Linked DNA regions of Mus musculus. The protein of the gene in region 1 interacts with the protein of each later gene in a biochemical or structural test. Links are inferred from orthologs where the notes say so. Each region holds a gene or a part of one and is shown on either strand. Other genes may lie near its edges. The genes, in order: Mapt, Casp6, Mapk3, Mapk13, Sgk1, Tuba4a and Gsk3b.

Region 1 (4,300 bases):
ATAATTCAGTAATTAAGCTCATATGGGAAAAAATGTTTGTGGTGCTAGAAAACTGAACCCAAAGTTATCTCAAAATTTTATTTTGGGGGCTGGAGAGGTGGCTCAGGGGTTAAGAGCACTGACTGCTCTTCTGAAGGTCCTGAGTTCAGATCCCAGCAACCACATGGTGGCTCACAACCATCCACCCCCCCAGCCCAGAAGTGTGTTTGTTTGTTTGTTTGTTGACTCACTTTCACCCTGTAATACAATTCAGGCTGGCTTGGATTCTGCTATATAGCCCAGGCTGATCTTGAACAAGTCTCAGCCTATCTGAATGCTGGGATTACAGATGTGAGCCAACACACCGAGCAGGTACAACGTTGGAGTTTTAGAAACAACTGCTGGGATAGCAGTGCACACCTTTAATCTCAGCACTCTAGAGGCAGAGGCAGGCAGGGGATCTCTGTGAGCTCCAAGCCAGCCAGGGCAACATAGTGAGAACCTGCCTTGAAAAATAAAGAAAAAACGGCATGCAAATGAAAGCTTCAAGACAAGTTTTCGCCTCTTTGGCAAGAAGTAGGTGCCTGTCTCTCTTCCTTGCATTTGAACAGGCTCCAGCTGTCCAAGAGAATTGAGCTTTGGGGAGGTAAGATATTAAGCTAAAGCCACAGCCCACGCCTACGTAGCTGGAAGGAGAACTAATGACCAATTTCAACCGGAAGCTTGACATCCAGCAGGTGGCCATCTCCAGCAGGCACCTTAAAAATTCAGCTCTCACGCTGTACAAAGGTGTTTCAATAAACGAGATAAAAATAACTCTGTGAAAATGCCTTGCAGTGTGTGTGGTAAGCATCATTAGAACTTACCTATTTAAAGATTTTTCTTCGCTAGGGTCACAGTCAAGATACCTAATGGGTTTGAATGCTCCTTGATTTAAAAACAATTGTTTTTCCACGAAAACGCTAAAGTGTATTACGGTCAAGTTAATCTGTTTCGAGAAGATTTGTCAAGGAAATCATTCACTTTGGCCATTAACAAAAACAGGTGGAAAGAAAGCAAGCGAACAGCTGGCCCTGGAAATAGAAAGTGCGCTCTATCTGGAGGGCCACATTTTAGGAGACTCGGGGAGCCTGTAGCACTTGGGGTTCACGGTGTACCGCCTGGAGAGCCAGCGAGGGTGAACTGAAAAGCGGACGATGACCGACACACCGCTCTGCCTGGACCCCGCGGGGACCGAGGGAGGGGACCCCTGGACTAGACAAAGGCTGCAGCCCCGGGAGGCCGGGTGCGCGTGCGCCACGGAATGCGCGTGCGCGCGGCGGTCAGCACCGCGGCCCGAGGCGTGGCGGGACCCGGGGAGGGAAGCGCGGAGAGGGGCGAGCCGAGCGGCGCGGAGAGAGGAGGGTTGAGGGGCGCTCGCGTGCGCCCCCTAGCGGTCGGAAGGGGAGGTGCCCGCCCAGGCCTCGCTGCCCGCCCCTCCCCTAGGGAGGTTCGCGCTCCCGTGGCTCGCGCCTGCGCTGCCCGCCGGCCTCCAGAACGCGCTTTCTCGGCCGCGCGCGCTCTCAGTCTCCGCCACCCACCAGCTCCAGCACCAGCAGCAGCGCCGCCGCCACCGCCCACCTTCTGCCGCCGCCGCCACAACCACCTTCTCCTCCGCTGTCCTCTTCTGTCCTCGCCTTCTGTCGATTATCAGGTAAGCGCCGCAGCTCTGAAATCCAGTCCCCTCTGGCCCTGTGCGCCGTCCTCCTGCCACCCCTCGCCCCAGAGATGGATTTAGGGAGCTGGGCATCAATCAGGCGCAACGGCGGGGGCCTCTCTGCGCCCTAGGCGCTGGGGAGCTGGGAAGGAACGCGTGCAAGAGATGCACGCACGCGAGCGAATGCGTGTATCTATGAGTGCTGGGGTCCCCACTATCGGCTCCGCGCAAATGAGGGGGGCTGTGCCCGCAGGGTGGGGCGCGGATGACGGTGACCTAGGGAAGGGGTTGTTCTGTAATCTGGATCTCAGCCTTTTGCCGCAATGGGCGTGGGTCTGTGAGTGTGCATGGGGGTCCAACGACGACCCCCGAAACAGAACCTGAAATCGGATTTCTCTGCTCCTGATTGCCATCAGCCCTAAGGAAGGTGTGGATCGGGTTCTAGAAAAGATGACTGCCTTCATGTCTCTCCACCTCCCTGACAGCGATTCTGACACGGCCTTCACTGGCCCTGATTTAAGGCGGTGGCCCGCCCCCTCCCCTTTTCCTCCTTCAGAAGCCGGCAGGGGACATTTGGGGGCTGGGAGGAATCCGGAGGATGGGGAGGGGTCCAGGCGCTGTCACGTTAGTCGCCCTTCCCCCTGCGCGCGCTTGGTACAGTGACAGGGGCAGCGCCGTGCCCGAGAGAAGGTAGTGCGCGGATCCCAATGTGGGAGCTCGAAGAGTCAGGGGTCACCTGGCCTCGCGGTGTCAGCGGGCTGGCTGGCAGCGGCTCCCCGCTCGAGGGCGCGCAGCGTTGCAGCCAGGCACAGACCCACGCGAGGGCTGCAGGTGCATTTCGGGGCGCGTTTCTTTCTCTGCGTTCTGCGCCGGGCTCCCGGCATGTGCGCTCCCTGCCGGAGGCGCGGGCTGGCGCGCAGGGCTCGCCCCTCACTGCGGCAGTGGGTGTGGACCTGGGTGGGCGAGGAGGGGGGAGTACGATGTGTCTCCTCCCGCTGCCACCCCTCTCCGTTTTTTCCCCCCTCTCTGAACGCGAGGTGCCATCTTTTTGCGGCGAGTCACGTCTCTATCGTAGCATGCCAAGAGCTGTGGCCAGGCTTTGGAGGACCCGGCTTGGACCCATGTTAAAGAACAGGGGGTGATGAACACGGAAGCCTTGGCGTTTTGCCTCTGCAGCGGTGCGCACCAGAGCGTTCACCTGAGGTCGTCTAGGGGAGCTCGCTGCTTTGTTCGTCGTGTGATTTAGGATCTGCGCTCCCAGCCCTGGTTTTTTGGGGGAGTGTGCGGGGGGAGGCGGGAAGCTTTCATTCGACGAGGATATTTGCCTACGCACTCGGAGCAGCTCCATCCTTTTTTCGCCACTCTTTTCAGACCCTTTGTTGGATCTACAGACTTGCGGCAGCCCACTCCCCAGTTCGACCCAGAGCCACATGGGTGGGATTCGAGATAGACTCTCGTGTGCAGGAGCCCTCAGAGGAAGCACATCCCTCCCCACACCCAGGCCATCCTGAGGACCACACCCCACTTGTGTTTCACTGCTAGGGGAGCCAGATAACCCTCGGGAATGGGGAGATTCGGCAAGCTCAACTCCGCATCCCCACCACCACCACCACCGTTGAACCCTGTTGCCTCTCCCGGTGGGAGAGTGTGAGGAGAGGGTATGAGATCCCCTGGGATACTGCGGCCACACCCATCCCTCCCAACCCAAGGAGAGAGGGTTAAGGGTTGCCATAGGAACCACACCAGCCAGAGGAGGAACCTCTGGGCGTTACCTCACCCCCTACCTCCCACCCCCTACCTCCCACCCCCCCCCTTACTCCGCGGAGATTTAGAATCCTGGGGTAGTCTGATAGTGCCTGGAAGACACGAGGAAGGGGCCCCTCATCCCTGATGCGAGCATCATTCTCTTGGCACTGGCAACCATAGCCATCCAGAGAGAGAGAGAGAGAGATGCCTCTAATGTATTTTATTATAAGCGTGCTGACTGATATTATTTTATTAATATCATTTAAATGAGGGACTTTCATTTTTAAAAAAATCCACATCTACAACAGCCCTTGAAACCAGAGAGGGATAGAAAGCTAAGAGGTCCCAGCCTCCCCACCGTACAGTAAGCTCGGTCTTCGAGGTTTTCTGGTTAATTTTACCGCTGAATACTGGTGCGGGTAAGCAGTTTTGAGACCGATGGATGAGCTTCTTAAGGGCCGAATTGCCCACGTCGACTGCTCACTCAGATTGATGTAGGCTGGGGGTGGAACGCCCTCTCCCGATCAAACCGCGGCCTGAGGCTGTGGCATCGTGGCCGGGCCCGCCTGGCAGAAATTTCGCGAGCATCTGAAAGATAGGTTCAAATACTACCCATCCCTCGCCACACGACGGGCTGCTGGGAACAGGATTCTTAAGCTAGAAGAAGCCAGGCTCTTGGGCTGGATGCGGAAAGGGGAAGGCTGGGAGGGGGGGCTGACTATAGCGGGCCCGTTGGGCAAAGGTGTCACAGCGGAAAAATCAGCGGGAGGGGGAGGAGACAGAACGTTTTACCCAGTGCAGAAACAAAGCTCAGATCACAGCGTCTTCGAACTCCCATTTTGCACTGTGTTGAGGGGTCGAGTGAGGTACTGTGCTGGC
Region 2 (4,300 bases), on another chromosome or scaffold:
ATTTGTGGAAGGCCAGCCAGTCGAGGATCCTGCTCCTATATAGTGAGATAGAGATGCATTGTCAGGACTCAGATAAATAATGAAAGTCATATCCAAAGCATAGGCAGTCTTGGGAGTCAGACAAGCCATTCAAACCAGGACGGTGGTCGACACCCTGAAGTTCACTCTCTGCTAGGTCTAGGCAGCTGGGCTGGGGATGATGAGACCTAAATAAGTAAAAAAATAAAAATAAAAATAGACCACACTGTTTCCCCAAACAAGAGAACGGAGAGCAACTCCCAGCCATTTTCCCTGAGCTTCCCCCATGAAAGGCACGGTTCTGAGTGCAGGTTTAACTGGTCACCACCACTGGAGGGAAAGCTTGAAATGCCATGTCGTAATGACAGAGAAAATCATTATTAAGACAATTGAATATTACTAAGCCTAACCCTCTTTACTTGCCATCAAGAGGGGCCCAATTAATTTCGGACATGTTTTCGGGGCAAGGAAAAAGGTTTATTCAGTAAGCAAGACACAGCAAGACTTCCACTGTCTTATTTTAATAGAAATGGTGACATTGAGACTAGTGAAGGCCAAAGGCTGTGCAAAGATACCTGCAGATGCCCAAAGCCTGCTGCAGCAGGCATGAGACTACGCATGTGTGAGCCCGCCCTGCCCTGTTAAAGAACCTCCCTTATGTACACACATGCACACACACACACTTCCTACACACATGCACACACACACACTTCCTACACATATACGCATGATTAAGTAGTGTAATAAAAGACTCCTCAGTCAGCTGGTAACACCTTAACATAATTTTTATCATCTATAGTTGCTTGCTTTTAAATGACAAGGTGGCACACAGTAGGCACAATATGACAGGAAAGGCCATGGTCACCATCACCTACAGATAGACTGTCGTTCTTAGAATTTATGCATGCACTGCCAAACTACCCCTACTTTTATAAGCCAGACTTAAACATCCAGGAATTGGTAGAGTGCTAGGCTAGCATGCGAGAGTCCTGGGTGCAGTGGCACAAAGACAGTTATCACAGCACTGAGTGTGGGGGCTGAAGGATCAAGGTCAGGACCTCAGCTACAGGAGACTCAGGGAAGGAAGGAGGGAGGAGAGGGGGTTGGGGGGTGGGAAGAAAGTCCAGGAGTTGCCTCCGTTTTGTTTTGTCTAAAGCCCTGTCCAAACAGCAGCAGCAACAACAACAACAAAAACATGAGGAAAAAAGCCCTCTGACTGTAGAGTAAGCTCTCTACACTAAACTGAGCACTAGATGAAGTGGCGAAGAGCGATTGTCGGGCGGGGACGGCAACACTGAGTTCACCACCCTGGACGTGAAGTTGCCCTACTTGCTCCCCGGGCAGTGCCCTCTTCCCCAACACTTACACATACACATATGCTTACACACAGCCAGGCTCTGTGCAGGAGGAAGACGCAGTGGCGTCCTGGCGTTGCCTGGGTGACAAAGGGCCCAGTTGCTTGGGGAGGCAGAGGCGGATCCTGGGGCGGGGCAGGAGGCGGGGCGGGGCTGGCAGGAAACGGGTGGACGAGCGGAGGCCTCAGGGCTAGGACACCGGTGGGAGCTCGCGGGCAGGTAAGTGCGGACACCCGTGCGTGCGTGGGGCACGGGGCAGAGAAGGGTGGTGGCCTCCGGGGACTGCTAGGACTGACAGAAGTGGGCTTGCGGCGCTGTGCAGTGAAGGACGTAGCAGCGGTATTTTGCTCAGGCTAACCCCGCCGAGCGCTTTTGTCCTCACGTCCGCTGCTTCCCGGCTGTTTAAACTTTAGAGGGCGGCGCTTGCACTGTGTAGTGGAGAACTTGGCTCTGCAAGTTGAATCCTGTTTTTGTTGCTCGCGTCTGTCTGAAAAGTGGGAAGAGGAGGCGGACCAAGGCTTGGGGCACAGGCCTGCGGTAACCGGGCTCAAGACCCCTAACCAAGGCCAGACCTGGGCGAGCACCTCCGCCACAGTGTCTTCTGCAGCCAGCAAACCTGTTGCTGTCTACGCGTTAGCCCCAAATAACTTTTCTCCACACAGTGATAAACTGCTAGTTCTTGCTTCCCTCAGAACAGGCTTCCTGTCGCCTATCAAAACCGACGTCAAGCCTGAAAAATCTTTAAGGTCTATCAGAGACGGCCTTTATTTCAGAACTTCTGTCCTTATTCCAGAGGAAAACTGTAAAAGTCCCCATGGTCCTACCAGGAGTGGTCCTATTGGACACACAGGGTCTAGTGGTCATCTCCAGTTTAGGGATGAGTAGTGAGGGGTGGGAAGCCAGGTTGGGGGAGGGCACCGTGCCGCTCACCCTTTTGTTTGATTCCTTTCCTCTCCTGTTCAGTTCTATGTGTATGTGCCCTTTCCAGAGTATGTTCTAGGGAGGTGAGTTACTTCTTACAGGTTATTAAGTAGATGGTTGACAGGGAATATGGGTAGATTCTCATGAAGGTCACTAGTTTGGAAAGTGACCTTTAGTGGAATGCCTGGTGACATGTAGTACAGACTTTGTAATCCACCAGTGCCGGGCTTTCGGTTCCGACCTTAGGCAGGACTGGCCCTGTTCTGTGTTCTTGAGCTTTGGAAGTAGTAAGATAAAGTATCTACCGTCCCATGCAATCAATTACAGTGGCTGATAGCTTTATCTGGAGGGTACCATAAAGAGAAAAAGAGGTGAGTGATTTTATACAAATTAAACTAAGGAGCTCAGAGGCCATGCTTACTGTAGGGTCGAACAGTAAAGGAGAAGTGAGACATGGCCAAGACTGACGATTAATGCTGTGTACAGTTTTGAGAACCAGAACAGAGGAGACCACACATTTCTAACCCTCCTATAGGCTATCTTAATCTCTGCTACAAAAGAGGCCAAGGCCGGAAAGTCTCAGGTTCAAGGTCAGCGTAGATAACACAGAACAGCTCTTGGGGAAATGCTGTGCCATATACGCTTTGAAGCTGCTTTGCTGTGAGCCAGGCTCTGAAGACTGCGGCAAAAGGAATGTGAATTTGAGGCCAGTCTGGGGTACGTTGCTTTTGAACCCTTGCTAAGGCAAGACTCTCTTGAGAAGCCTGCATCCGTGTTGTGCTGGGTAGTCTTATGTCAACTTGACACAAACTAAAGTCATCTGGGAAGAGGGAGCCTCAGTTAAGAAAGTGCCCAATAAGATCAGGCTGTAGGCAAGCCTGTAAGGCTTTCTCTTAGTTAGTGATCAGTGTGGGAGGGCCCAGCCCACTGTGGTTCGGCCATCACTGGGCTTGTGGTCCAGGGTTCTCTCTAAAAGAAAGCAGGCTGAGCAAGCCAGTAAACCATCTGCCTCCACGGCCTCTGCATCAGCTCCTGCCTCCAGATTTCGGCCTTGTTTGAGTTCCTGTCCTGACTTCCTTTCGCGATGAACATGGAAGCATAAGCCAAATAAATCCTTTCCTCCCCAACTCCTTTTTGGTCATGGTGTTTCATTACATCAATGAAATCCCCAATTAAGACAGATATCTTGGCTATCTATTGTAATTTCCCTACACATATATTAAGTATATATTAAAACTGTTGAGTGCTGGCAAGAGATCTTAGCAGGTAAAGGCACTTGCCACCAACCCTGGGACCTGGGACCGTATTATGGAAAGAGGAACCTGCTTCTGCAGGTTGTCACCTGACTTCCACAGAGCTGTGGCGTGTGTCTGCCAGCTCCCACACATACACAAATACATGTCAAAACTTTATTAAAAGACCCCAGCTTTACATTAAACAAACCCTTAGTGAGGGCGTGAATTTGACAGCCTTGAAACTGGATGTTATTTTTAATAGATCTTGAACAGTTACTTAGGCCCTGACTAGGCTGAGGGAGATGTGTGAGACAACCCACACTGAAGCTTCTCATTGGATAGGAAGAGCAGAGTTGGTCTTCAAGGCTTTCAAGGGACTTGGCAAGCTGTGGCTGGCATTCTTGCCACTTTGGCAGCTCTCAGGTGCCTTGCTACAAAGGCAGGTTGGCAGTCCCTTCCTGGATTCTGGCTCTGTAGGTCTCAGTAGCCACCATGACCCAGGAGTCAGCCTTCTAACACTCACTGGCAATTCTGAGGCAGACGGAGGAAACCTACTTAGCACCTATTGGACAAGGAAATGCCCGACTGGACTCTTCACTGAGAAATGGTGCTGCCTGGGTGAACTCTAGGCTAAAGGGGACTGAGCCGCCTCCCCACTCAGCCTCACCGCCAGGGTGGCTGTGGTTTTGCTCTATTGACATGAGGTTAGAACAAGTCTGTTTAAGGCGGGGGGCGGGGAATAATCGACTCCACGTCAAAGACCCCTGCCAA
Region 3 (4,009 bases), on another chromosome or scaffold:
CCAGAGATCCAACTCAGATCTTTGGGCTTGCTTGGCAAGCATCTTTACCTACCCAACCATCTTACCAGCCCAGCGTGGGGGGAGGGGGGGACAGAAAGACAGAGACAGACAGAGACAGAGAAAAGGTGACAGTGAATTTAAATTGATTTAGTTACCTTTGTCCACAGCTACCACCCTTTCCCTCCTTCTCCCGTGAAGTGAGCTGGGTTGCACGTCCTCTGGGCAATCAGGCAGAGGATTTGTACGACACTGGGGCCTCAGCACACACCTGAGCCCCCCTGCAGGCCTGTGTCTTCACACTGGAGTCAGGACCGACTTCACAGCTTCACAGTGCTGCCTGCCGTCCACCACCCTCCAGATTGCTTCCTCATTATAAAACGTAAGATATACTCCCTCAGCAACTCAGGGTGGCCCACTCCTACCAAGTCTGACAGCCTGAATTGGACACCTGGGACCCACATGGTGGAAGGAATCAGATGTCCTCTGACCTCCACACAGGCTCTGTGACATACTTACGCTCCAACACACAAAATTAATAAATGTGGCAAATAAACGAATAAGAAATTATGGAAGCTGGGCATGGTGATACATACAGCTTCTAACTAATCCTAGCACTGGCGAGTTAGTATGTTGAGGCCAGCCTGGTTACCTAGTCTACATAGTGAGTTCTGGAACAGCCAGTTCCATGTCAAGAGACCCTCTTAAAAAAGAAAGAGAGAGAGAAAAGAAAGGATGGAGATGTGGCTCAGTGGTAGGATGCTTGCCTAGTAGCATCCTGAATCTGTATGATGGCTCAGGCCTAAAGGCAGGAGGATGTGTTCAAGGCCAACCTCCACCACATAGAGAGCCTTTGGGGCTAGCCTGGATTACCACTATCTGTTTAAATGAAACAAAGATGTGAGGCAGGTCTTCAAAGGTTAACTGTAAGCCGGGTGGGTTCCCTTAGCATTACTGAGGGCCACTGGCCCCTGGGGCTGCAGAACTCTCTTGGCAGACTAAAGTACCCTAGTGGCCAAGGCAGGGAAGGAACAGCGTAACTAGGCGGGAAAGCCGGGTGCGCGCCCAGGAGACCATGTGACGTCTCGGGCCCGCGCAGGCTCGCCCGGCAGGCGCGGGGGCGGGACGCGCGGGGGCGGGGGCGGAGCCTGGCGCGCGGCCCCGCGGTGACAGGGCGGTAGGGAGGGGCGGGGCCGCGGGCGGGGCAGCGGGGGGAGGCGGGAGGAGTGGAGATGGCGGCGGCGGCGGCGGCTCCGGGGGGCGGGGGCGGGGAGCCCAGGGGAACTGCTGGGGTCGTCCCGGTGGTCCCCGGGGAGGTGGAGGTGGTGAAGGGGCAGCCATTCGATGTGGGCCCACGCTACACGCAGCTGCAGTACATCGGCGAGGGCGCGTACGGCATGGTCAGGTGAGGGGGCGTCCCGGGAGGGGGCTTCGGAGCAGGGACAGCAGGTGTGTGCTCGGGACATGGGGGGCTCAGGGAGTGTCGCAGGGGAAGTATCGTGCAGTGACTTCTGGAGGACTAGGCGCTACTTTCTCCAGGGAGGGGGGTTGGAGGCTTTGAAGCCACCTTGTATTGTTAAGGGAGGGGCACCTGGGGGACCCTAGAGATAAAGGTGGAGCTAAGAGGATGAAGGGGGAGTGAGGGACCCACGAGCAGGTAGTGGGAGCCTTGGTTCCCCCCTGATGAGGCTGTGACAGAGAGTTTGAGAGAGGAGAGCAAAGCTCAGGGTGGGGCAAACCTTTGCACCTCTGCCCCTGGCAAGGCTAGGGGCCCAAAGTAGGGAAGGGTCTCTAGAATGTGCCTTATTTTGTGGTATACGGGTTTGTGAGTTCTCGCTGCCCCACTGTGTGCTCTGCTCTGGGCCTTTGTTCCTATGGGAGCAGCTCTGACCCAGGAACCGCACAGGGAGACCTGCCTGCCCCTCCTTATCTCTTCTCTCCTGTCCCATTACTGAATCCTCTAGGCTTCATCTACTTTCTCCATTTAACTCCTATCCCCTGGACCTGTCTGGGATTGAGAGAGTCCAGCTTGGGAAAGGGGAGGAGGGTGAGGGCAACTAGAATGTAAGAGGGTCCAGGAGAAAGGAAGTCGGTGAGTGGCCACTCTCTTCCTCTGTTTGTGAAGTCACTGAAAGGCTGCCTGGCTGATACCCAGCTTTCCCCTGGAGATCCCAGGCCTTCACAGCAGGAAGGAGCCAGCATTGTTTACATTTGGCCAGAACCCTCTCCTCCTCTCTCCAGTCCCTGCCAAGACCTGGGTGGGGCCAACAGGCCTGGATTCCCCCTTTGTAAGGCCACATCTCTCTGGCCCTCTCAGCTCAGCTTATGACCACGTGCGCAAGACCAGAGTGGCCATCAAGAAGATCAGCCCCTTTGAGCATCAAACCTACTGTCAGCGCACGCTGAGGGAGATCCAGATCTTGCTGCGATTCCGCCATGAGAATGTTATAGGCATCCGAGACATCCTCAGAGCGCCCACCCTGGAAGCCATGAGAGATGTGTATCCTTCACCTTAGCCACAGCCCCAGAGTAAAGCTAGGGAGCTTGGCTCTGTTGTCTGTGGTCATCTTTTGTACTACCCTCCAAAAAAAAAAAACCCCAGCAAAGTAACTTTTTAGCAGAGAGTCTACAGAGCATGAGAGCACACTGGCAGGCCTTGGATCCTGGTCTGTCGCAGCCAAGTGGAGTGGCCTTGAACACATCCCTTTCTGCTCTGTGCCCCAGTATGGTGTGTGGGGAGGGAGAATGCTGTGGAAAAAACGATCTCTATGGGAGCTTTGTCTTCTGACATCTGCAGGTCTGTGACATGACCCAGTCTCTGCCCACAGCCTGTTCTTGCTCAACAGACTCACGATTCTTTCTTTAGAGACCTCACACTGGATGGAAAGCAAAGAAGAAAACCGGTATTGGGCAGGCCTAGTGCTTTGGTTCTAATTCAACCTTCTAGCTTCCCTGTGTGACGGATGAGTTTTACTGTGTCCATTTCAAAGATAAGGAAACCGAGGCTCCTCTGTGTTAAGTTTTGCAGTGCCTTCTAGGGGGAAGGGGAGTGGGCGATACTTAATCCAACATGGAGGCAGTGGAGGCTTTCAAACCACATTGTATTGTTAAGAGGGGGAACCTGAGGACCCTAGAGTCACAGGGTGGAGCCAAGCCTTTGCACTCCTGCCCCTGGCTAGGCCGGGGGCTCAAGGAAGGGTGAGGGGCCCTGAGAGTCTGCCTGAATTCGGCAGTTCCTGTTAGTAGCTTCCTCTTCTCCCCCAGTTGGCTTCCCTGGAGCCTTCCCACCTTTCTGAGAGCCCCACCCTGATCACCTGTGGACTTGTACCTTGACCAGGGAGGTTAGTCCAGCCCTTGTTGCCCTTGCTTGACACTACTTGCCTAGTTCAGACATCCAGTTCATTGTCCATATCTACTTCCTGCCTGGCTCCATTGTTAGCAGACGGTAGCACCCATGGCCTTTTCCCTACCCACCCCTCCCAATGCCAGGATTTGTTCTACAGCCTCTGCAACTCTGACCACAGGAAATCGACATACTCCCGTCTTGCTGCATGACCTTCAGCAGGTCTCTGCATCTCTAGACTTGCACATTTATAAAGCAGCAGGGTTGGTCCCTGTGTGTATATATCTGCAGGTGCTTATTCCCTCGTTTCTTCTTTTTGAGAAAGGGGTCTTGCTATGTAGATCAGGCTAGCCCTGAGCTCACAGGGATCCAACTGCCTTTGCCTTGGGGGTGACACCAGCCCCAGTTTACATGTCTTCTATAGAAGACAGTTCAGACTTCAGTTTTTTTTTTTTTTTTTTTAAGAAAGTTTCACAGTGTATCCCTGGTTGGCCTCAGGCTAACTTTGTAGACCAGACTGGCTTTAAACTTCTAGGCAATCCTCTAGCCCCTGCCTCCCAAGTGCTGAGATTATAGGAGTGAGGTGCTCTACCCAGCTCCTGACTATTCTTCCAAAGATAAGCCATTTGTTTTTGCTTAATCTTTGTTTTACCTTCAAGTATAAAAGGA
Region 4 (3,444 bases), on another chromosome or scaffold:
CCCAGGGCAGACCTGAGGCCCACTCAAGCCAAGCTGACAGAGCTATGTCATCTGTTTGGACATGGTGGCTGAGGGAGGTTGGGACAGGTGACTAGGAGTCCCAATCCCTGCCTGGAATATAAGTAGGAAGAAGAGACCTCAAGGAAGAGATAATGAACTTGACCTTGGGTCCTTGACTCTTCCAGAGCCTGTGAAATCACAGGAGGGGGGAACATGGATGTAGACCAGGCTAGCATCCTCTCCATGGGTGATGGCTAAACGCTGGGGACTAAACATGGTAAGACAAGATACAAGGATGTTGGTCCAGAGGGCACATCTGTGAGAAGGCAGGAAGGGTGAGCAGGTGAGAACTGGAGAGAGAGGAGGGCTGGCAGGCACCTGGGAGTCAACAGAAGGACACACAGGAGGAGTCACTGTTCTTGACGTGGTGACTGTGACCTTGAGCCCAACATATTAGGACAGACACAGGTACCATGACTAGGTTATGAGAGGCAGTGTATTTAGGTGGTGGAGAAAGTGAGATAAACTGTATATATTGTATATTACACATACACACATGTACACATACATGTACATATACATGCACACACTCTCACACATATATACATATACACATATATAAATATACATATACATACACATATATGTATACATATATGTGTGTGTGTTGGTATGTGCACATGCTTGAAGGAGCCCCTGAAATCAAAGACAGTTGTGAGTTGCCTGATGGGGGTGCTGGGAATTGAACTTGGGTTCTCTAGGAAAACTAGCAGGTGCTCTTAAAAGCTGAGTGATTCTTCCAGTGTCCAGCAATAGCTTTCAGAAGCAAAGTCCACAGCAAGGTAGTATAAATATGTAATCCCAGCGCTCAAGAGGTAGGTGGAGCCCTTTGGGTTCGAGGCCAGCCTTGTGTACATGTTCCAGGCCAGGCAAGGCTACATGATGAGGCCCTGTCTCAAAATAAAGGGAAAAAAATGTGTGCATGCAAGACACATGTGATCGTGTGTGTGTCTATGTGTATGTGAGAGAGAGAGAGAGAGAGAGAGAGACTGTGTGTGTGCAAGTGTGTCTGCACGCGCATGTGCATGTGTGAGTGCTTGTGTGTGTGCACATGTGCATGCGTGTGTATGTGCATGTCTGTGTGCATGTGTGTGAGTGCACAACACACACCTTTTATAATCTATTACTTTTTTTTTTTTTTTTTTTTTTTTGGTTTTTCAAGACAGGGTTTCTCTGTATAGCCCTGGCTGTCCTGGAACTCACAACTCACTTGGTAGACCAGGCTGGGCTCGAACTCAGAAATCCGCCTGCCTCTGCCTCCCGAGTGCTGGGATTAAAGGCATGCGCCACCACGCCCAGCTAATCTATTACTTTTTGTCTTTGTTTTTTTATTTTTTTATTATTTTTATTATTTTTTTACTTTTTGTCTTTAACGTTGCTCTTACCACCTTGAGTCACACTTCCCGGTTGCTGACCCTGACCTGTTTCACTTGAGAACCTAATAGCTCGGGTCCCTTCTTCTCCACCATCTGAAGATTGTTTCCTGCTTCCTTCCTGGCAGGGCATCTGTTTTATAGTTAGCAGAGCCAGCTGGGGTGGGTGTGACCCTCTGCAGGAGAAACTTTTGGTTAGAGGTAGGAATGCTAGCAGATGCTGTGGGCTTGCTGCTGGTCAGCTATGCGAGGAGGGCAGAGCCAGGGTACCTTTGTATGAACGCAGGCGTGTGGTGATACAAAGTGTGACCTAGTCTGTTGTTCACCCTGAGCTCGGCCAGCCAGGTTGCTGTGGCCGACATTGCAGGAGCCCAGGCTGGGCACTGCTCATTTTTCATGTATCCTCTTTGTTTGTTTTCTGTGTTATTGTGTTCATATGTAGGGAGCTGCATATGTGTATGCAGCTATGTGTACATTGTATGTGGGTACTGAGGCTTCAACTCCTGTCTTCCTCATGTCCTATTTACATATGTGTGCTTATATGTGCATTTATCTGGAGGTCAGAGGTCAACCTCTGATGTTGTTATTCCTTAAGTGCTATCTACCTTGATTGTTTTTCTTATGATTGTAGTTGTGTGTATGTGTGCGCGCACGTGTGTGTGTGTGTGTGTGTGTGTGTGTGTGTGTTTGTGTGTGTGTCCCTGCATGAGTTTTGTGCACCATATGTATGCAGTGCCCACAGCAGCCAGAAGAGGGCACCAGATCCTCTGGAACTGGAGTTACAGGTGAGCCTCAAGATTTGGATGCTCGGAGCCGGGCGTGGTGGCACACGCCTTTAATCCCAGCACTTGGGAGGCAGAGGCAGGCGGATTTCTGAGTTCGAGGCCAGCTTGGTCTACAAAGTGAGTTCCAGGACAGCCAGAGCTACACAGAGAAACCCTGTCTCAAAAAACCAAAAAAAAAAAAAAAAAAAAAAAAAAAAAAAGATTTGGATGCTCGGAACTGAACCAGAGTCCTCTGAAAGATTAAAGCCATCTCTTAGTCCCCTTCCATTTTTTTTTTTTTTTTTGAGGCAAGGCCTCTCACTGACTTGCCAACTAAACTAGGCTTGCTGGCTAATGAGCCCTGGGGACCCTTCTGTCTCCTCCCTACCAGCACTGGGGTTACAGCTGAACTCCAATACACCCAGCTTTTATACGTGGGTGCTAAGGGTTGAACTCCAGACCTCCTCATGCATCTGAGCACTGTGTCAGCTGACCCAGCTCTCCAGCCCCGGGACTCACTATGTAGCCCAGGCTGGGTTTAACACGTTGCAATCTCTAAGTGCTGGGATTACAGGCATGAACTATGACACCTGAGTCGTCTTCTGCCTTCTTGCCTGGTGTTGTCTTCAAGGTTACTGTTGTGCCCGACTTCTGTCCCCACCCCACCCTGACCTCTCTGAGGTCACACCTGGGCCTGTGGGAGGCTGGGAACTGTGCTAAAAAACACTCCTGCCTTCCAGCTACCTGGTGATGCCCTTCATGCAGACAGACCTACAGAAGATCATGGGGATGGAATTCAGCGAGGATAAGGTCCAGTACTTGGTGTACCAGATGCTCAAAGGTCTAAAGGTGGGTGGAGCCTACATGGTAGCCAAGGCAACTTCCTTGTTGAGAGCCAGCCCGCTGTTGTGGGGCAGAGGAGGGTTCTCGATGCTGGTGTGGAAGCTGACGTCTCTGATTCACATCTCTCTCTCTCTCTCATTCTCTCTCTCTCTCTCTCTCTCTCTCCCTCCCTCCCTCCCTCCCTCCCTCCCTTTCAGTACATCCACTCCGCTGGCATCGTCCACAGGGTGAGTGCTTTCTCTATCATGGTTCCGGGGAATGAGTTTTGGGGTAGGAACAGGGTACTCTGGTGGCCAAGGGATTGGGAGTGACAGTTCTCAGGAGACAGAGGCTGTGAGTGTTTCAGCCGTGAGAGGGCTGATGTAGAATGTTGAGAGAATGGCTGTGTTGAGAAGTTGGGGAGA
Region 5 (3,500 bases), on another chromosome or scaffold:
TTCTTAGTTAAAACCTCTGTGCTTTGTGATGTCCACTGGTCCCCTGTGTGTATACACCGGGCACTGCGTCAGACTGCCTACCTCAGGCGTGCCACAGAAGGTAGATGTTGTCCCGTTATGCTCAATATTCTCTTTGCAGAGCCCAAAGTCAGTGAGGACGATGTGCCCCTGGGAGTCTAGGAGAATATTCTCAGGTTTTAAGTCTCTGTAGGAAAAAGTAGTTACACAGGTAGGTTAGCTTGACTTCATGACAAACCCTCTGTAAAGATTGCTTGGGTATTAAGAAGATTGCTAATCCACTCCTGTTCCACAGCCAATCACAGAAAGGAGCCTTAGTTGGGCTGTTAGGATTATGCACCACCCTCTTGGTATGGGCAGTTGAGACAACTCACATGCTAGGGAATTGTTAGAGGTGACCAAAGTGCACATAATATCTCATTATTTTAGGACTCCAAAGGCTCAGCCTGGCCTCCCTCTCCAGCATTCAAGGTAGCTTTGAACCTTTGGCTCACCTATAAACGATGTTTAGGGAGTGCAGATAGCCCAGGGCACTGGCTATTTCAGCTGCGTAGAATCGAGCCCGTGGTTCCAGGAAGCAGCGCTCCCTCTGGAGATGGTAGAACAGCTGCGAGAGACAAAGAAACTGAGGCTTAGTGGGGTCGTTTAGTCAGGCCCGAAAGAGAAAGCTTGAAGGAAGTGGCCTGAAATAGCTTAATTCTGAGTAAGTTTCTCTCTCAAGTATCTTTTAAAAGCTCATCTCAAACCCAAACCAAGCAATGCAAACAGGAGCAGCCCCACTCCCACCATCAAGGTGGATGCCTCGGCTCACCTCTCCACCATTAATGTAGTCCAGGACAAAGTAGAGCTTGTCAGCGGTCTGGAATGAGAAGTGAAGGCCCACCAGGAAAGGGTGCTTCACATTCTTCAACAGAACATTCCGCTCTGACATAATATGCTTCTCCTAGGAGAGAGATGAGATTTAGTGGCAAATTCAGATTTCAACAGGGCAGCAAACCACAGGGTAGAAATTCTTCACCAGGCCTGCGAGCCCCGGCCACCAGGGGTCACCCTTACCTCTTTCTTCTTCAGGATGGCTTTCTTCTGTAAAACTTTGACTGCATAGAATACTTCTTCTGCCTTGTGCCTAGCCAGAAGAACCTGAAATGTCAAATCGGACAGTCATTTTTCTATCCTCATCCAGGGAGAAGATAAAAGTGAATGCATGAAAGAGTCGAGATGCAAAGTTTTCATCTTTTGGAAAAGATGAACTTTTGGTTGAACTTACCTTTCCAAAACTGCCCTTTCCGATCACTTTCAAGAAGTGAAAGTCGGAGGGTTTGGCGTGAGGGTTGGAGGACGGACCCAGGTTGATTTGTTGAGAGGGACTTGGCTAGAAAACAAAGCATCATCCTTTAATACGTACGCTGCACACAGCCTTACTGTTAACACATAAAATACCTTATGAAATATGTCTTTCAAAACATCCCAGTGACTCAGTACTTAAACACTTAAGCCACTTGTGATGTGACTAGACAATCCCGCCTTGATAGTTTTTACAAATACTGCCTTGACTAACCCCTACAGGAAAATACGGATACATTTATAATTTTCCTCCACAGTCAAGATATACTTACCGGAGGAGAGGGGTTAGCGTTCATAAGCTCCGGCTCCTGAGGATGGGACATTTTCAAAATGGACTGAACTTCAGCGCTGTGGAGATTAAAGGGCCATTTTAGAAACTCTTAAATTCGCCACCAGAGGGCACACAGACATAAGTTCTATTTCTGACTCAACCGTTCGGTATTTAAACCGAAAACATCCCAAGGAATTGCTTACAAAAAAAAAAAAAAAAAAAGGTAAGAAAATAACCCAGTTAAATACAAATTAAGGTTTGTTTATTGAGGGACGTGGATTTTGGTGAACATTCACGAGAATTAATCTTAAACCTCCGATCCAAACTCTACCCATAAATTAATAATGTTTAAAATGTTTCAAATAAGCAAAATGTTCAAGACCAGAAGAGATCTATCTACCCCGGAGGAAAGATCTCAGCTCCAGCACCACCACCCCCGCCCCATGAAGTCTTCGCTGCTAGTAAATTTAAACAATTCTTTCTATTTTCCCCAATAACCCAAAACTTACTGTTTGCATGCATAGGTGTTGCTGGCAATCTTCTGAATAAAATCGTTCAGGCCCATCCTTCTCTGTTTCATAAAAGCTATAATTTAAAGAGAGGAAAAGGGGAGATGGTTAGGGGGCTCTGTAACATCCGACGCCACACGCTAATCTGATCCTGAACCTTCAAAACCGATGCCGGCTCTCCTACACACACAAGTCCGGTGCTTTTCCAGCACTCACCGATGAGAATCGCTACCATTCCCCTCATTCTGGAGTAGGTAAGGGTGCTTCGAGCAGCCTCGGCTTTGACGGTCATCGTCCCGATGCCCGGAAAGAGCCCAAAAGAGACTGAGGGGAGCAGTGAAACCGGCTAAGACAACAGTGCGCTCCGGCCGCGCGACCGGCTTTATAAGCCCTGCGCCGCGAAAGGGCGGGGCCGGCAGAAGGAGGAAGCGGCTCAGAGCCGCCCATCTCCAGGCTCCGCCCGCCATGAGGCTCCACCCCCCAGCCCAGCCGCCTAGCAGGCTGTAGACTGAGTTGCGAGAAGATGGGCGACTGGCCACCGTGTCCTGAGTGAGCCAGGCGAGCCGCCCTGGGCAGGACCGAGGCTTCCGCGGGCTGCGTGAGCAGGACCCCGCACCGGGATGCACTCTGCCTCTGTCTGCCTGGGCCGGAGGAGGGCACTGGAGGGGTGGAGAGCCTCGGTGATTTTCCATTTCCTCTCCCGTGCTTCCCGAGTGGACACCGCAGTGCACGGTCACCGCCGACCTCTCCCCTCCTCGGTGTCCCGTCCCCGGCCCAACGCGCAGCCTCCAGGTTCCCGCGCTGTACCCTATCCCGATCTCCACGCACCCCGTCCCTAAGAGCCGGGCGGCGACACTTACCCAGTCCGCTCAGCAGGACGGACTCGCTCCTTTTCTGAGCCTCCGCCCGCTTTTTGTGGCGGGGCCGGAGCAGGGACTCGAGCCGAGCCCGAGCCAGCGCGCCCTGCATCTCGCCCATAGCTGCGGACCGAGGGGCGCACAGCGGGCGACGGCGACCGGCGAGCACTGACGTTTCCTTGAAGGAGCCGCCGTGACTCAGGCCGGCAAGATTTCCTGCCCCAGTCCCAAAACAAACAAATGGCCCTTGTGCACGGCCGAGTCGCTTCCGAAAACGCCTTTTTTGTGCTTTTGGCCAAAACTAAGCAAGGCTGAAAAATCCCAGAACTTGGAAGAGGAGGAAGGAAGGCGGGGGGGGGGGGGTATGAGGGGGTCAGGAATGTGTAGGGGAGGGGGCGGAAATAAGTCTCTGCTCTACAAAAAAAAAAAGTACAATCTTCATTTCACTTTTTTTTCCAACTAATCTCCGAGAACATTCTGTTCTTTCCGCATAAATTTTGA
Region 6 (4,010 bases), on another chromosome or scaffold:
AGAAAGCCGCTCCATCAGCAGAGAGGTGAAGCCAGAGCCGGTGCCCCCTCCAAAGCTGTGGAATACTAGGAAGCCCTGAAGTCCTGTGCACTGATCAGACTGAAAGGCAAGGAAGAAAGAGCAATATAGGTAGGGGAAAGGCCTGAGGAATTTTCTAGTTTTGTAAGGTCTAAAGTATCTCAGATGTTAGGACAAAGTCTGAATATCCCCTAACAGCATCAATTTCTGAGACACAACTAGTGATCATCCTAGAAATGGATCCGAAAAAAATACTTTTCCTGAGCACAGAGTCCAAAGCTCCCTCCTCCCTGCCAGGCTGTATGTAGTCTCACCAGCTTGCGGATCCGGTCCAGCACTGGGTCGATGATCTCCTTGCCAATGGTGTAATGACCACGGGCATAGTTGTTGGCTGCATCTTCTTTCCCAGTGATAAGCTGCTCTGGGTGGAAGAGCTGACGGTATGGGCCATTTCGGATCTCATCTGAAAAACCATATATCACATTGCAAAAACCACCTGACTCTGCTCCTTCCCCCTCCCCACCCACTGAGTGGCAGCTGAAGCCAGATAGATAAAAGAGCTAGCTCATCCTTCTGCCAGCATCCATCTTCAGCTTCAAATAAACCAAGAGGCTTCAAAGATCACAAAAACCCAGCCAAGACATTCTTCAAGAGACACTCCACTTTCCTCAAAAGGGGACCCCTCCCCCCCTTGCTCACCGATTACAGTAGGCTCCAGGTCCACAAAGACTGCCCGAGGCACATGTTTTCCAGCTCCAGTTTCACAGAAGAAGGTGGTGAAGGAGTCGTCCCCTCCACCAATGGTCTTATCGCTGGGCATCTGCCCATCAGGCTGAATCCCATGTTCCAGACAGTAGAGCTCCCAGCAGGCATTGCCCATCTGGACACCTGCCTGCCCCACATGGACTGAAATGCACTCGCGCTGAGGGATACAGAGAAGGTCACAGCATAAGTCCTTACCCACAACTACCCACTTCATTCGGTTCTTTCTCACCCTTTTGCCTATTGGCTGAGATTACTCAGTTGGTAAAAGTATGGTAAGGTTGGGACTCATGGTGGTCAGAAGCAGCTGGCAGCCTCTCCAGTCTCCTCAGCACAGGGCTCCCCAGACTGGAGGTAGCCAGCAGGGCAGACCAACCCCTTAGCCTACTTCTCAGTAGAGAATTTACCAAGTGAGAGCTGTATAATCCTGTTACATCCACAGGATACACAGGACAGAGAGGACATGCACACCTGACAGGCAGGGCTTCAGCAATTATAATAAGGGTGCAGGGAGAGAAAGACACAGAGAGGGATAGACACCGAGAGACAGAAGACTTTCCAGTTGCTTCCAGATCGTGCAGCGTCTAGAAATATGTTTTATAGTTTATAGCCAGCAGCTTCCTCCCTGGTTAATCTTTGCCTTGAAAATTCTCACAACCCTCTCCCCTTCTTTCCTGTGGGCAAAGAGGTGTCTCAACCTTCCATCTGGTATCAACTGACCATTCTGGCCTTCAGGATGCTAGAACCTCCACTTTTAAGTTCCATCTGGCCCTGAGGGATCAATCCCATCTGGCTCCTCTCCCCACCTCCACCCTCACACTCTGCGTTGCTTCACCACCTCCATCCTCGCCTCAGCCCACATGGAAATAGCAGCGATAATACGGGTAAACGCTGACGGCAGGGGCAGGCAATACAGGTATACATACTGGAGCCCTGGCAACTTAAGGCTACATCTAGGTGGTCCATAATTTAACCCCTGCAACGCCCAGGTCTATAGAACCTGTGCGCCTCCCTTTTCACAACCAAATGGCGCGTGGGGGCGGGGTGGGGCACGACAATTTCTAAATACCCAGAAAAGGAAGTGGAACCTGCTAGGAGGCCCTTGAGGAAACCCGCCTTGCTGCACAAGCCAGGGGAACGCCATCTGTACCTGGGCCCTACGTCTGCTCTCCCACTGGAGTCTTTCCAGTTACTTCCCAGTTGAAAGCTCGGGTTGGATTTCTGCCCCCGCTCCGGGCTATAAATACAAACCCCTTCATACACCTCTCTCCCTTCCCCCGCCACCTGGCCGAGGCCGGGGCTGTCGATCAGCGCCAGCTGTCTCTGCCTGTTCTCCGAGCACCCGCGAGCACCCGCACTCGGGTAGGAGGGGCCCGCTGGCCTCCCGAGACCGAACCCCATTCCCGCCACCCCTCCTGGCTCAGGAGGGGGTGCTGAGTCATGTGGGGGGTGTAGATGGGAAGAAGGCACACGGAGGAAGACGGGGTGCGGTACCAAGTAACCCCTTAAACCAACCGGCGCCAGGCACGTGTTCGGTCAGTTCCAGGGACTCACTCAGGGGGTATGGGTGGCGGGGGCAGCTGAGCAGGTCTTCTGCTGCCGGAGGAGAGCACTGGGTACGGAACCTCGTGACTCCCCTCAGGAGGGTTGGAACACAGACGCTTGGTAGGGCAGGAGGACACTACAGAAGGGCTCCTCTCTGCTAGTGAAACACCCTCCCTCAGTCCCCAGCTTCTGAAGGTGGACAACACACTAGGTCAAAGTCACCGGGAGAGGTGGGGGAAGTGCAAAACTCTTACATCTCCTGGAAACTCGGAATGCTAAGGAAAGGGTCTTCAGATCTCTAGTGGAAGGTTCCCCCAGAGAAGCGGGACATTTGTTTATAGGACCGGAGAGATCCTGGCGGGGCCTCACTCACCATGATGAGTTTGGGCTGTACGTCTCACGTAGAGTCGGGGTCACGGGTCTCGGTGAGATCTGCGGAGCTGCAGTGCCGCACCGCTCTTATAGGCAGGAGGCGGGACCTGCGCGCTCAGCCCGCCCACCATGGGGCGGGGTGGTTTAAAGACTACATCCCCGTCAGGATAGGTGGCCACCAGGGGAGTGAAACCTAGGCGTATCCCCTCCCCTTGCCGCTCCGGATTCTCTCACCTGTCGGGTTTGGCTTAGAAGCAGCGGCCCATATTCGTTCCTAGTTTTGAGCCGATGTCCCGGATTCCGAAGGTCCGAAGCAGAGACGCAGGGTGCGGTGGCGGAGCGTGTCTCGAATGCACCCGCGTCATGTAGACGCTCATGGTGCAGGTATTCCGATTTAGGGCGGATGAAGCTCAAGCAATCCTTCAAAAGCGGCTGTCCCCGGCCTTCTCCGCTGTCCTCCCAGCGTCGCCTCCCGGGCTCGGGCGGGTTGGGCAGCTGGGACTGGTCGCCCGAGACCCCCTTACAGCAGACCGCCGCCTGCTGGTCCCCGGCCGAGTTGGTAGGCTTTCGCCCACACCTGTAGGAGGCCGAGGACCTAGAACTACAGAGCCTGAGCCCCAGGGTGCCGATCCGGTAGACTATCCCTCAAAGCCGAGCGGCGCAGCCAATCTGTGAGGGCCGACGCGAGAATCTGCCACCTTTCACCGGCCAGGCCACTCGCTGGTCAGAGGCTCCGTCATTAGCGCCGTCACTATTAGTTAGCTCCCCGCCTCGACCACCTACCTGCTGCGGTGGAGCACAGAACCTGGAGCCTCTGGAACAGCATCCGGTCGGCCTTATGCAACCTTGGGCAAGTGACTTAGTGTCACTGAGTTCTTGGCTTGTACAGTCGAAGAGATACCTCCTTTCTACGTTTTATTTCCATTTCGTACTAGGACAGGCCTTTCTAAAAACTATTTCTGCTTTCTCAGACATACATCACCCCCACCGGAAAAAAAATCCCTCAGGAGGAGCCCAGGTGCTGGTTTTCATGGCCATAAAAATTCTGACTCCTAAGGTAGTCATCACTTGAAAAAGATTTCACCAGCATGGGCTTCCATTCTCTTCTTAGGGACAGAGCTGTTTGTCAGCATAACACAAGGCCGAAATATATACAGCAATGGCAGACGTTCTATCAACAAAGTAGCTAGTGGCATTTGACTTAAGAGAAGTCATAGAAAAGAATACAATACATTTCACAAGATCTCTTTCTAGTCCTTGACATCTGGTTAGGAGAATTTCGTTGGGAGAGGCTGAGTGTGTAGTTCGGTTGG
Region 7 (3,500 bases), on another chromosome or scaffold:
AGGCTGTCAAGGCTTCCAGTTAGATAATTTGGAGTTATTGGGAAGTTTGTATTTTAGGAATCTGTTTTATCCATTAAGAATGTAGCTCTGGCTGTCATAGCAGCTTGCTGCTTCTGCCTCCATGTAGAGCACTCAGATGCTGAGACTCAAGGCGTGGGCCACCGAGTCCTGCTAGTCATTTGTTTGAGAGCTGGAGTTTAAACTCCACATCACAGACAACTGTGTTTTCAAGGAGCTATCCCAGCCCCAGAATGCACTTCTGAAGAGAGGAAAGTCGGTTATCTAGTACACTAAACCTTGATTTTTTTTTTTTTTTTGAGAGTCTGAAAACCTTACTGTTGTTAATATAGCAAATACTGTTTTATCTGGGCCTAAGAAGAAGGTTAAAATTTGAAACGGATGATGAAAGGAAAAACAAATCAAGTTTAGAGTCATCATTGACTATAAGTAAATTGAAGGAAAAGAAACCCCACCCCAAGACTGTCTCCTCACCTGTCTGGGTCTCCTCCTCCTCACTGTTACCTCAGATTTTTCACCTTTTTTGGCATTTATTTACTTGTTGTTTTTTCCCTCTTTGTTCATTTGGTTTTCTTGCAGTATTTTGTTCTGTATCTGATGCTGCTGTCAGAACAGCTCCTAGAGCGGCCTGCTTTTTTGAGATGGAGTTACCTAAAAAGACATTTCAAGAGATACTGTGACTCACTTCAGTGTTTAAAATATATACTGTAAGCTACTTTAGGAGGAAGGTTTTAATAATATGTAAACTTAGAGCTGCAGAGATGCAGTTGATAGGGTCTGAGTCATTTTCCCCTAAAGTTGAATGCCTTTTCACAGTTTGTTTAGCAGTAGGTGTTTAAACAGTAAACCGACTAGAATGTGGAAGCATGCATGTCTTGGCTGTGTAAGGCTGAGTCGGTCATCCTGAGTCAGAAGACCAAGTTGAACAGAGTGGCCAGATCCCCCACCCCTTTTTTTAAAAAGCGTATAGATGAGGAATATTGATATATTCGCCTATTCTGATCTGGTAATATTCTTTTGTTGGAGAAGACTACTTTTTAATTTTCTGACCTTTATATTTTATTTATTAATTATTTTTGAGACATGGTCTCACTGTATATCCCTGGCTGACCTAGAACTCACTACAAAGTGGCCTCCATCTCACAGAGATTCACCTATCTCTGCCTCCTGAGTGGTGGGATTAAAGGTGCACACCACCATGCCTGTCAGCCATTTAATATTTCACAAGTAGAATTTAGGAAATGGGGAAGCAGAAGAAATTGACCATTTGTATCCTTTTGTAAGTTTTTAATCTCTTTGTTCCTTAGCTAACACCTGACACTCACTTTAAAAATCACTTTTTTAGATATCAGTTTGATGAAATTGTGTATTTCTTTTGTTGGAAACAGTTTCAAGTGTGTGGCATTATTGCAGTCTTACAAGATTTAGATGAACATGTGGTATGTGAATGTAAAAGTAGTCATTTCTTTAAGGTATATATTTTAAAAATGTTTTTTTTTTTTTCATCAGTGCAAAGCAGCTGGTCCGAGGAGAGCCCAATGTTTCATATATCTGTTCTCGGTACTACAGGGCACCAGAGTTGATCTTTGGAGCCACTGATTACACGTCCAGTATAGGTAAGTGCCGGGTCTGAGTGCAGTGGGTGTGACTGTTAACTGCAGCCTGGTTCTTACCAGTTCTCTGACTCAGCGAGGGCAGGGCTGCGGAGGACACCTTTGCAGAAATGAAGAGAGTTCATTTTCTTTCTTACACCTTAGAGTTGATGCCTTTCTGGTTTTATGCTTTTTTAGTATTAGAATTATACAAGTATTACTTTGTATTGTAGTTGCTTAATGCATCTATTTGACGCTAAAGTTTCAAATAATTTTTGATAATCATGTAGAAACATTACTGAGGCAGGGAAGGACGGCAAAAAGACGTGCTCACAGCACGCGTGGAGCTCAGCCACAGCTGCTCGGAAGGAACTTTTGTCTGCTTAGTTACTAATGGGCTCTGTACTAGTTTTCTAGCTCTCCTGAAGTGTTTATTCTTGAGCCTAACCTACTTAGAAAACTTGTTAATTAATAATGTTACTTTTAAAATGTTAATATTATAATTAATAGGGCAGTAATATTTCTGAATTCCTATAATGATGCATCGCTTAATTTTCGAGCAGCTTAATTCATTAGCTTTTCAGGTTTAAAAGTTTCACTGGAGATGTCTAACGATAGAAAGATTAGAGACAGTTGAAATCTTCATTGACCTTATCTTCTTAACCTGTTCTAGTGCAGTTGCTGTGTTAGTAGACAAAAACCCTTCTCCCAATCAGTTTATTTAATGTATCATGGCAGGGGTGGCGGGGAGCTGGGCTTCACTGATGTGGCTGGACTAGCTGACCCGTGGGTCTGAGACCATCCTGTCTTCAGCTCTCTCTACCATAAGCCACCTCCACAGCCCCTTTCACTTTGTTTCTGATTAGAACCTGTTAGTCCTAAATAGAAACTAAAGCATACATATTACACTCCTCCCCCAGGAAAAAAACCCATAGTCATGGGGGCGGGGCAAAAACCAAAATAAAAACAAAACCTGGCTAATTTAGTACAGTGCTTTGTCCTCCTGATACGCACAGCGGTGCGTTGTTCTTTTTCTTTTCAGAAAGGGCAATATGCCAAAGCATCTTTTCGCTGATACTGGTGCTTTTTACACACTAGGTCATTTTATTGTTTATGCTGTTAGTGTAAAGTTACATTCTAGGACCTGAAAATGTCTGCAACACTTAGGGCTCTACAGCCCACACTTGATGAAACCTGCCAGAGGAGAGGAGGGAGGGAGTGTGTGTGGTGCCGTGTGTGGTGCTGTCTTACTGTGGCTGTAGGAACATGGCGTATGTGACTGAATAAGTGAGAAGTGCTGCAGAGAAGCTGACTGGAGAAAACAGTATCTGAGCTGCCACGTGGAGACCCTGATTCTGCCTGCTCTTCATAAAACGTTACTCAAGTACTGTAGGCGACAGTCTTTCCTGGGCTTACTAATTCAGCTGTCTCCAAGAGAAAGTTTAGTCCTTTGTCCTTGCAAATGCCACTGGATACAGTATTTGATTAGTATTCTAGTCAAATATTTGATACTAGTTAGCTATATATGATCTATGCACAAGATAATAGATTGAGTTGTGCCAGGGTCTACAAAAATCTGAACAGTCCTTCTAAAATAATCAGAGCCAGATCACCTGGCACATTGTAGAAAACATGGATTTGGATCTAAGATGCTTGCCTTTTAAATTTGGTTTATGCGTGTGTTTTTGCATGTATGTATGCATACCACATGCATACATTAGTGCCTGTGGAGGTCAGAGAGGGTGTCAAATCTCTGGAGATATAGGTGGTTGTGAGCCATTACATGGATGCTGGGAATTGAACTAGGTTCTGTGCAAGAGCAGCAAGTAGTCTTTCTTAATGGATAAGCCATAACTGTAGCCAGGATCTTGCTTCTTAAGACTTTGTAAG

The links.
Region 2: of the proteins of Mapt (region 1) and Casp6, one has a biochemical effect on the other in vitro, tested with the Homo sapiens proteins (2 studies listed by BioGRID). The link is inferred for Mus musculus from reciprocal best matches to the Homo sapiens genes MAPT and CASP6.
Region 3: of the proteins of Mapt (region 1) and Mapk3, one has a biochemical effect on the other in vitro, tested with the Homo sapiens proteins (2 studies listed by BioGRID). The link is inferred for Mus musculus from reciprocal best matches to the Homo sapiens genes MAPT and MAPK3.
Region 4: of the proteins of Mapt (region 1) and Mapk13, one has a biochemical effect on the other in vitro, tested with the Homo sapiens proteins (2 studies listed by BioGRID). The link is inferred for Mus musculus from reciprocal best matches to the Homo sapiens genes MAPT and MAPK13.
Region 5: of the proteins of Mapt (region 1) and Sgk1, one has a biochemical effect on the other in vitro, tested with the Homo sapiens proteins (3 studies listed by BioGRID and IntAct). The link is inferred for Mus musculus from reciprocal best matches to the Homo sapiens genes MAPT and SGK1.
Region 6: the proteins of Mapt (region 1) and Tuba4a are reported together in a solved structure, tested with the Homo sapiens proteins (2 studies listed by BioGRID, with this or other methods). The link is inferred for Mus musculus from reciprocal best matches to the Homo sapiens genes MAPT and TUBA4A.
Region 7: of the proteins of Mapt (region 1) and Gsk3b, one has a biochemical effect on the other in vitro, tested with the Homo sapiens proteins (21 studies listed by BioGRID and IntAct, with this or other methods). The link is inferred for Mus musculus from reciprocal best matches to the Homo sapiens genes MAPT and GSK3B.

Annotation. Positions count from the first base shown.
Region 1 is NC_000077.6:104,229,936-104,234,235, forward strand, and holds the start of Mapt (microtubule-associated protein tau), read left to right. Parts: upstream 1-1,500; 5' UTR 1,501-1,672; intron 1,673-4,300. UniProt on the Homo sapiens protein: Promotes microtubule assembly and stability, and might be involved in the establishment and maintenance of neuronal polarity.
Region 2 is NC_000069.6:129,899,915-129,904,214, forward strand, and holds the start of Casp6 (caspase-6 precursor), read left to right. Parts: upstream 1-1,500; 5' UTR 1,501-1,592; intron 1,593-4,300.
Region 3 is NC_000073.6:126,758,417-126,762,425, forward strand, and holds the start of Mapk3 (mitogen-activated protein kinase 3), read left to right. Parts: upstream 1-1,209; 5' UTR 1,210-1,229; coding exon 1,230-1,402; intron 1,403-2,314; coding exon 2,315-2,497; intron 2,498-4,009.
Region 4 is NC_000083.6:28,772,317-28,775,760, forward strand, and holds part of Mapk13 (mitogen-activated protein kinase 13), read left to right. Parts: intron 1-2,937; coding exon 2,938-3,046; intron 3,047-3,237; coding exon 3,238-3,267; intron 3,268-3,444. UniProt on the Homo sapiens protein: Serine/threonine kinase which acts as an essential component of the MAP kinase signal transduction pathway.
Region 5 is NC_000076.6:21,993,684-21,997,183, reverse strand, and holds part of Sgk1 (serine/threonine-protein kinase Sgk1), read right to left. Parts: intron 3,295-3,500; exon of another isoform or gene 3,121-3,294; coding exon of another isoform or gene 3,003-3,120; intron 2,519-3,002; exon of another isoform or gene 2,435-2,518; coding exon of another isoform or gene 2,359-2,434; intron 2,219-2,358; coding exon 2,143-2,218; intron 1,711-2,142; coding exon 1,635-1,710; intron 1,391-1,634; coding exon 1,286-1,390; intron 1,159-1,285; coding exon 1,075-1,158; intron 962-1,074; coding exon 830-961; intron 626-829; coding exon 513-625; intron 206-512; coding exon 82-205; intron 1-81. UniProt on the Homo sapiens protein: Serine/threonine-protein kinase which is involved in the regulation of a wide variety of ion channels, membrane transporters, cellular enzymes, transcription factors, neuronal excitability, cell growth, proliferation, survival, migration and apoptosis.
Region 6 is NC_000067.6:75,216,495-75,220,504, forward strand, and holds the start of Tuba4a (tubulin alpha-4A chain), read right to left. Parts: upstream 2,801-4,010; 5' UTR 2,702-2,800; coding exon 2,699-2,701; intron 941-2,698; coding exon 718-940; intron 482-717; coding exon 333-481; exon of another isoform or gene 100-332; coding exon 1-99. Other genes in the region: A630095N17Rik (uncharacterized protein LOC381272), read right to left, coding at 3,966-4,010. UniProt on the Homo sapiens protein: Tubulin is the major constituent of microtubules, a cylinder consisting of laterally associated linear protofilaments composed of alpha- and beta-tubulin heterodimers.
Region 7 is NC_000082.6:38,190,001-38,193,500, forward strand, and holds part of Gsk3b (glycogen synthase kinase-3 beta), read left to right. Parts: intron 1-1,527; coding exon 1,528-1,634; intron 1,635-3,500. UniProt on the Homo sapiens protein: Constitutively active protein kinase that acts as a negative regulator in the hormonal control of glucose homeostasis, Wnt signaling and regulation of transcription factors and microtubules, by phosphorylating and inactivating glycogen synthase (GYS1 or GYS2), EIF2B, CTNNB1/beta-catenin, APC, AXIN1, DPYSL2/CRMP2, JUN, NFATC1/NFATC, MAPT/TAU and MACF1.